2 linked regions of the Solanum lycopersicum genome follow. The protein of the gene in region 1 interacts with the protein of each later gene in a pairwise test. Links are inferred from orthologs where the notes say so. Each region holds a gene or a part of one and is shown in the gene's direction. Other genes may lie near its edges. The genes, in order: protein SCAR2 and guanine nucleotide exchange factor SPIKE 1.

Region 1 (4,580 bases):
TAAATTTTAGAAAATAACAAAATACAAATAAAATTATATTTCACTAAATTATCTTAAATATATTTACACTTTTAAAAAATTATTAATTTATAGAAATTTTACGATAACTTTTTGTTGGTAAAAAAAGGAAAAGAAAAAAAAAGGTTCAGACGAGGCTTTAAATTTGGGTGGATTCATACGCTACGAAATATACACCAAAATAAATAAATTATTATTATACAATGTGAATAGGTGCAGGATCCAATACAAGTGCTCTCACTGTCTCACCGTGTATTTATAATTGTTATAGTTTTTTTTTCAAGAGTTAATTTATAAATCATTTTATTAATATTTTATAATATATTTTTAAGTCATATTAATATATATAAAAATTATAATTTGTATTATTTTTTATATAATTTCTGAATATATATATTTTTATTTAAAATATAAATTTATTTAATCTTATTAATTATAAAAATTATAAATTAACTTTATAATATATGACATAATAATTAAAAGCGGACAGAAGAAGAAGTATAGAATTAAGGAGGCCCACAATGAAAGGCATGACAAGCTCAGCCGCGTTTGTCCACCGTATTTTATTTGTCTGAGTCTTTCCGAAAATTCCCAGGTTATATTTAAAAATATACACACAAGTATAAAATATGAATTAAATTATTAACACCATTTAAAAAAATATAATTAGTGAAACAAACATTTTAAGTCTCCAACCAGATATATTAAAATTAAACTGAATAGTAGTTGAAACTTTCATCTACAATCAGTAACCAAAAAAAAAGTTCATAGGTAATTTTTATCATGAAAATTGTAATTTTTATAGGTAAAGTTTGTGCTTTTATCTAATAGCTTGCACCAGATTTGGTGAATTCGAACCAAATCTCTTACTTTTGTTGAAAATAAAATTTTAAATAATACTCCACTAAATATATATAATATTCATATATGATTAAAATTTTAATATAACTAAATCGTATAATTTTCAAGCAAAAGCTTCTCCACTGGCTAACGTGTAGTTTCAGTTTATCACTATCACATGTGTATTGAAAGAATACATTTTCTTTAATTTAATATAATTGATTGTTTTGATTTTCTCTAAATTATTTTAACTATAGTGGTATAAATTCACTTTTATTCAACAATTTAAATAATGATTCAAACTAAAAAATTTAAGATAAAATATTTATATATAATTATAAATTAAAAAGTTTAAAATTTGTGATTCCTAATAATGGTAATTGATTATTTTTATAATAATATTAGTTACTTTAATTTCAACTTCAGTAATTTAATTGATGATATAAGTTGTTAAGATTAAATATTTATATAACAATAATTATGAAATTACAGGTATATCAACTTACTTTATCAGTTAAGAAATTTTTATTTGTTATTTTAAAATTGAAATCAATTAATTTACTCGATATTTATATTTCAATATTATAACCATCTAAAAAATATGTTATACAAATTGAATAATGAACAATATATAAGATAAAAGAGCAGTAGAAACGAGTATTTAATATAGTCAACCGACCCTCTTCTCTGTTGAGTCCTCACCTCTTCTTTCAACTGTACATTCACATTCGCCTCAACTCTTTCTCTCTCTATAGCTACAATTACCAACGAAGATACAGCTTTACAGAGACTCCATTGATACTCCATGTGCATGAATTCAATGGCAAAAATGTAATGTTGATATTCTGAAGAGAACGTTTGATGAATTAGGGTTTAGATTTTGTTGAAAATGCCTGTGAATAGGTATCAGATTCGGAACGAGTACAGTTTGGCTGATCCGGAACTGTACAAAGCTGCTGATAAAGATGATCCAGAAGCTCTACTTGAAGGCGTTGCCATGGCTGGACTTGTTGGTGTTTTGCGTCAGCTTGGTGACCTCGCCGAGTCAGTATCTCCTTTTTTGTTTTTCTTGCTTTTATTTTATCTGATGCGTTTTTCGTTTTCAATTGGCTGATTTTAGAATTTTGTCGTTTTACAAGTGAATGCTTTCTGGATTTTTATGTTTCAATCCACCTTTATTTTCGTAATTTTGGATCGATATAGTTAAATATGCGAGTTGAGATAATCAGTATTGAAATCTGTTGAAATTTGGTAGTTGGAAGATGCTTTGTAGTTATTGAAAATGGAAAGTTGAATTTGTGAGTCCATTATTTGAAATGTTATTTGATTGCATTGTAGATTTTCTTTTTGTTGTTTTTTTTGACAATTATTGCATTTGTATAATGTGACTACTTTTTTTTATTTGTTGCTTTTTTCGGCTGTTTGATTAAGCATTTACAAGTAGTTCTGTTCTGGGTAAATTCATACGGAGTTCCTGTTTTTTTTATTATTTTAATCTAGATTATGCTTCTTAGAAGATGAGGGAATTGAGATGGTTTGGACTTACGAAGAGGAGACGTGTAGATGCCCCAGTGAAGAGGTGTAAATAGAGGGTATGAAGAGAGGGAAGAAGTATTTGGGAAATGTGATAAGACAAGATATGCTGTAGCTTTAGGTTACCAAGGATATGACCTTAGAAAGGAGGGTGTGGAGGACATCTATTAGGGCTGAAGGTGAGTAGAGTTTACTGTTGTATTGCTTAGGATGACTGATGTTTGCCATGATACTAGTTATATTATTGTAGTTCTTGTTTTTTTTAAAAATTTTTATCATTGTTTATTGTAGTTTGCAATCTATCCTAGTATGTTATTTATTGTGTTTCGGTTATCACATTACTTAATTGTTTTTTTTGGCTCCTTTTTGGTAGACTTTGCATTGTTTCCTTGTTACCTGCTATATTCTTTTCATTGTCTCTTTCTTCTTTGTATCTGGATTTGTTGCATTTGAGCCAATGGTCTTTTGTAAACGACCTCTCTACTTCCATGAGGTAGTGGTATGGTCTGCATACGTTTATGATTTAACCTTCCCAAACCTCACTTGTACATTTAACTGGGTATGTTGTTGTTGTATGCTTGTTAAAAAATGTTCAGAGTATGTAGAGCTTAATCTATTGAGTTGCTGATCAATTAATTGTAAGGCATAAAAATTTGGTAGTATCATTAAAATGTGGTGCCAAATATGGGTCTCTTTGCTTATACACTCTCCCTGTAAGTGATTCCTGATCACTTTATTTTGTAAAGAATGTACTACAGTTGTTCTGTTTAATTGTGGTAGCGACTAAAATGTTGGTTTTCTTTTTTATTGTAAAATTGAAGGTTTGCTTCTGAGATATTCCATGACTTGCATGAAGAAGTGATGGCAACTGCTGCAAGAGGTCATAGTCTAACGGTCAGGGTCAAGCAGCTTGAAGCTGATTTTCCTTTGATTGAGAGCGCATTCCTCTCACAGACCGATCACTCTTCTTTCTTCTATAATGCTGGTAAGTGCTAAGAGTATTTCATTGGCCAATAACACCATACAAATTCTGGACAACTTAGTATACTTGCTTTTTTCGCGCACTTTGATAAACTCTTCTTGCTTCTTCTTAATTCTGTACCAAAAGATAACTGTCCTTCCTAACTGTTTTATACATGTTTGTGGTGCATGTGTGTGTGTGCAGAGAGAGAGAAAGAGAGAGGAAGAGAGAGCATAGAAAGGAATATTTGTTTTTTATTTTCCTGAACATAGAATGTGGTGTGTATGAATATTAGTGTTTCTGCATCTGAAAAAAATGGATATTAGTATTTAAGCAATTTATTGAGTTCCGATATAACCTATTAGTGAAAGTGTTCGTAATAACCTATTAGTGAAAGTGTTCGTAATACAAATGTTATTTCAGGTACTGATTGGCATCCTAATCTGCGAATCGACCAAAATATGGTTACAAGGGGAGATTTACCTCGATTTGTGATGGATTCATATGAAGAATGCAGAGGTCCACCTCGCTTGTTTCTGCTAGACAAGTATGCTCTGTTTTTGACAGCTTTAGTTGCATAGAGTGTTAAACTTTGTTAGAACAGCGTTTGTCAAACTTAATGGTATTGTAACAGGTTTGATGTTGCTGGAGCTGGAGCATGTCTGAAACGTTATACAGACCCTTCATCCTTTAAAGTCGAGACATCCTCTTATGCATTCACAACTTCAGATGTTCAGAGGGAAAAGAAAACTCGCAAGACAAAGGTAATTAAAAGAAGAGAAACTATTACTCTTGTTTCTCTGCTACCTTTTGGTTTACTTTGGAATTTATATGAGTGACATGTTGATTTAGTGGTTTTTTAATGGCTTCATATTTGAGATGACATTTTTTCCTTTTTCTTCGGGCTACAATTGGGGAAGGTTATTAGTGGTACTATGATAAGTTCTTGATACTTTCTTCCAATTACTTGAACATTTATTTCTTTATATGGTAACATGTGCTTATGTGCTTGAGTCTCTGTCTATCTCCATCTTGAAGCTTTCTGAAACCATCCCCTCATATCTCCATCTTGATCCAGAAAAGTGTAAGGGAAAAAGGAGCAAACTGATCTTGCCCCTTAAAATGTTTAATTTTAACTTGACACCTTTACTGAGAAGTGAATCTATTATTTGCTAGTTGAGCAAAGTTGTGTATCCTAATATGCTTATTTTTTCAGCTATGAGGCATC
Region 2 (3,827 bases), on another chromosome or scaffold:
GCAAAAGAATGCCATTGGCTTTTGTAAATGTTCAAACTATTAGGCCATCTAGGACTCTGAGCAAGGCGTGTGAAAACAAGGATCATTTCCTTTTTGGTAAGTAAAACAGAAAAACTTTAAAGCTTTGAAGTTACTGTGGTTCACATAAATGTGATTAGCCTAGAAATCTTTAGTTGGGGTCATAAATATAGTTGCTTAGAATTTAGATTAATGAGAACTCTTCAAGCAAAGGAGTTACGCGATATTCGTCTTCTCTATGTTTGAGTAGGGTCATAAATTCAAAGATGAATCACATTGAGAAGAGATAGAATGAGTCCTCAATATTTTGAGAGTGGTGGGGATACTAGAGAAAGCTGATGTGTAGACAAAAGGAATATAGGGATGAAAATGCTACTTAGTACTCAAAATTCAAACATAAGATATTTGTGCTAGAGACTGTTTAAGGAAGGAAGCAACAGAACATTTGAATTCATAGAATGGTCGTGAATAGGGCTACAAGTGTATTTTGACTACTATATCTAAGAATTTTTCTAACAAGGTTTTAGTTTCATTTGTGTTTATTGTCATACTAAGGTAAACTAGCAAGCGGGCGGGGGCGATCCAGTGCTTTTGTGTGTTCATACAGGGTCCTTGAAAGGGCCGCATCCCAATTGGGTGTTGTGTAGGCAGCCTACCCGACACAAATTTCATACCTTTTTCTTAAAAATTCCTTGACATATTTTTCAATCTTGAAGCTTGAATCTCCATTAGCATTTCTTAATACGGCCTTGTTGTAAGTTAGAGGTCTTTCTCCCTAACCAGTTATTTCAATTCTTTGGGGACTTTATCTATTCTTGACGGATTAAGTGGAACTTCCTAGCCAAATCTGTTGAATGTTATTGGAAATTCCTCTTATACAGTTCCAATTTAATACCTAGTACGCTGACCAAATTGTGAAACAATGAAAGTGAAGTATGTAAGGATGTTTGCAAGTGTACTCTTAATTGACACCTTTGTCCTTCTTTTGCCATGTACCTCTTTTGTCATCCTACTACCCGTCTCAACTCTTTCAACTGTAAAAAAGCCGGCTAGATGGAACTTGTATGTGATAACCAAGTGGTCCTTCACATTGCATCAAATTCGGTATTTCATGAGATGACTAAGCACATTGAGATTAACTGTTACTTTGTCAAAGAAAAGATACTCTTATGAGATATTATTGCAAAATTTGTGAAGTTGAGTGATCTGTCTGTAGATATTTTCAGCAAGTCCATCACTGCTAATTACATTTGTAGCAAGCTCGGTCGATATGACTTCTATGCACCCACTTGAGGGGGGATGTTAAAATAGAAATAAGAGTATGCTTTGTATATAGTATCCTACTTGGAGAAGGTGTCATGTAGTGTCTTAGTGTAATAATGTAGGTACACAATTCAATAATATTTCTCACAACCTTCATATCCTATAGCTAATGTGATGTCCTCGATAAACTGAAGATGACATCCTGGTCTCTCTAATCACCTCTCCTAAATACTTTTTCAGCCTCCCTCTACCCCTCCTTAAATCTGCCATTGTCAACCCCTCACACCTGTTACTGGGGCATATGCACATCTCCTTCTCACATGCCCTAGCCATTTCAGCTTCACTTCCCTCATTTGGTCCATCATGGGGTTTGCTCCCACCCTGTCCCGAACATCTTTGTTTTTAATCTTATGTCTCCTAGTATGTCCACATATCCATCTCTGCATCCTCATTTCCACAACATTCATCTTTCCGAACATGAGAGTTCTTGATAGGCCAAGTCTCTGCCCCATATAACATAGCTTGTATAACTATCTTTTTGTAGAACTTACCTTTTAGTTTTTGTGGCACATTCTATCACACAAGACTCCTGATGTGGGCCTCCATTTTATCCACCCGCACCAATATGATGTGTGACATCATCGTCAATTTTCCATAGTAGAATTGACCAACAGTAAAAAGGAAGGGGGAATGGGCATAAAGAACCTCAAAAGTACAGAATCGAAGTCTCTTATTGAAGTGGCTACGGAAGTTTCTCTCAGGAGAACAAGGTAGGCTTGTGGAAGATGCAATAGTTTCCAGATACACAATGGAAGGCTTATGGATCACTAAGCAAGTTAGAAGCCCTTATGGGGTAGGTCTATGGAGAACAATCAGGAATCAGTGGCCTAAAATGTGGGGAAACTCAAGAATTATAATAGGTAATGGAAGGAGGACATCATTTTGGAATGATGTGTGGGTTGGTCAATATCCCTTAAAACAGTTGTACCCGGTGATCTATAATTTGAACCAACAGAAGGAGGCAACAGTAGCAGAGGTCAGGGACAGCCGGACAGCCAAAGATGGAACCTCTCTTTCAGGAGAATGTTTTACGTTTAATGATTGGGAGATTGACAGCCTAACAGATTTCTACAATACTCTAGAGCAGGCCATCAACTTTCAACCCAATGAAGATAATCTATATACTGGTTGAGGGCCAATAACGGGAATTCACAGTAAAATCAGCGGCCAGCTGCAATGCTCTTACCATGGCCTTGGAAGATGATATGGAAAGTTAAAGTACCTCACAAGGTGGCTTGTTTCACCTGGTTAGTAGCCAGACAAGTAGTACTAACTCAGGACAATCTAATGAAAAAGGAAGGACAATTATGTTCCAGGTGTTTTTTCTATGAAAGAGAAATAGAGACAATAAACCATCTCTTCATCCATTGTAGAGTGACAGAAAATGGTGGAAGGTGTTTTTTAACTTAAGGGGTATCAGTTGGTCCATGCCAAGGCATACCTCCGAAGTTTTAACGTACTGGAGTAGAGAAGGAAATATGTCCGGCCACAAAGAGAGAGAAGATTCTCCCTGTTTGCATCTGGTGGACAATATGGAGGGAAAGGAACCAAAGATGTTTTGAAAATAAGGGCATCCCTTTCCAAAGTCTGAAGTTGAATTGTCTTATAACTTTTTTTTTTTGGGTGTAACTATGTACTCCGCAAAAAGGTGGAGGATATTACTCAGTTTCTAGATAGTTTAAGAGGGATAGGTGGCAGATTTCTTTGGTTTTGCTTACTGTAAACTCCAGATGTAACTACTACTAAAATACAATATTGGTGTATTCTGTCTATAAAATGTTAACTTTCTCAAAAAAAATATATTTTGTATGGAAATGCATGTTATGGTAGGATTTTCCTTTCGATCTTTCATATGTCAGAAAAAGGTTACATTCACTGTATTTTTGGTGCTAAATCTCAGTTTAACTTGGGTAGCATAGCACATGTACATATTCCTTATTAAGTGCTTGAAAGCCATCCTTCATAAACCCTACGCAGAATTTACAATTCACAGTTTATGCTACTAACTTGATCAAGTATTCTTTTTTTTTTATAGCTGTGTCATGCAATTTATGTATGATTCTTTTGGATTGTTGATAGAATGTGTAGGCAGATAATGTCTGTACCCACTTTGATATTAAATATTATATTGACAATTTATTCAAAAATTATCTGTCTGGTAAACCATTTCACTCTGAATCACCACTTGATAAATTCCTTTGTCCTATTGTCATGCTCTCATTATTCTTTCCTTTTAATTGCAGCTTGATGAAAATTTGGAGCAGTGGCCACATTTAAATGAACTTGTGCAATGCTACAGAACTGACTGGGTAAAAGATGAGAACAAGTATGGTCACTATGAAAGCGTCAGCCCGACTTCATTTCAGAGTCAAATATATGAGGGTCCTGATACTGATATTGAAACAGGTGAGATACCCTACTAGGACACCTCTTCTCTGTGTACGTGAAAATTATGGGTTAGGCGTCACTGATATTCTGATATGTCT

What was found.
Region 2: the proteins of protein SCAR2 (region 1) and guanine nucleotide exchange factor SPIKE 1 interact in binary tests that used the Arabidopsis thaliana proteins (3 or more experiments, as listed by UniProt). The link is inferred for Solanum lycopersicum from reciprocal best matches to the Arabidopsis thaliana genes SCAR2 and SPK1.

What each region holds. Positions count from the first base shown.
Region 1 is NC_090808.1:7,931,094-7,935,673, forward strand, and holds the start of protein SCAR2, read left to right. Parts: upstream 1-1,515; 5' UTR 1,516-1,747; coding exon 1,748-1,902; intron 1,903-3,212; coding exon 3,213-3,376; intron 3,377-3,775; coding exon 3,776-3,899; intron 3,900-3,986; coding exon 3,987-4,116; intron 4,117-4,580.
Region 2 is NC_090807.1:7,355,823-7,359,649, reverse strand, and holds part of guanine nucleotide exchange factor SPIKE 1, read left to right. Parts: intron 1-3,584; coding exon 3,585-3,747; intron 3,748-3,827. UniProt on the Arabidopsis thaliana protein: Guanine nucleotide exchange factor (GEF) for Rho and Rac. GEF proteins activate small GTPases by exchanging bound GDP for free GTP. Controls actin polymerization via the two heteromeric complexes WAVE and actin-related protein (ARP) 2/3.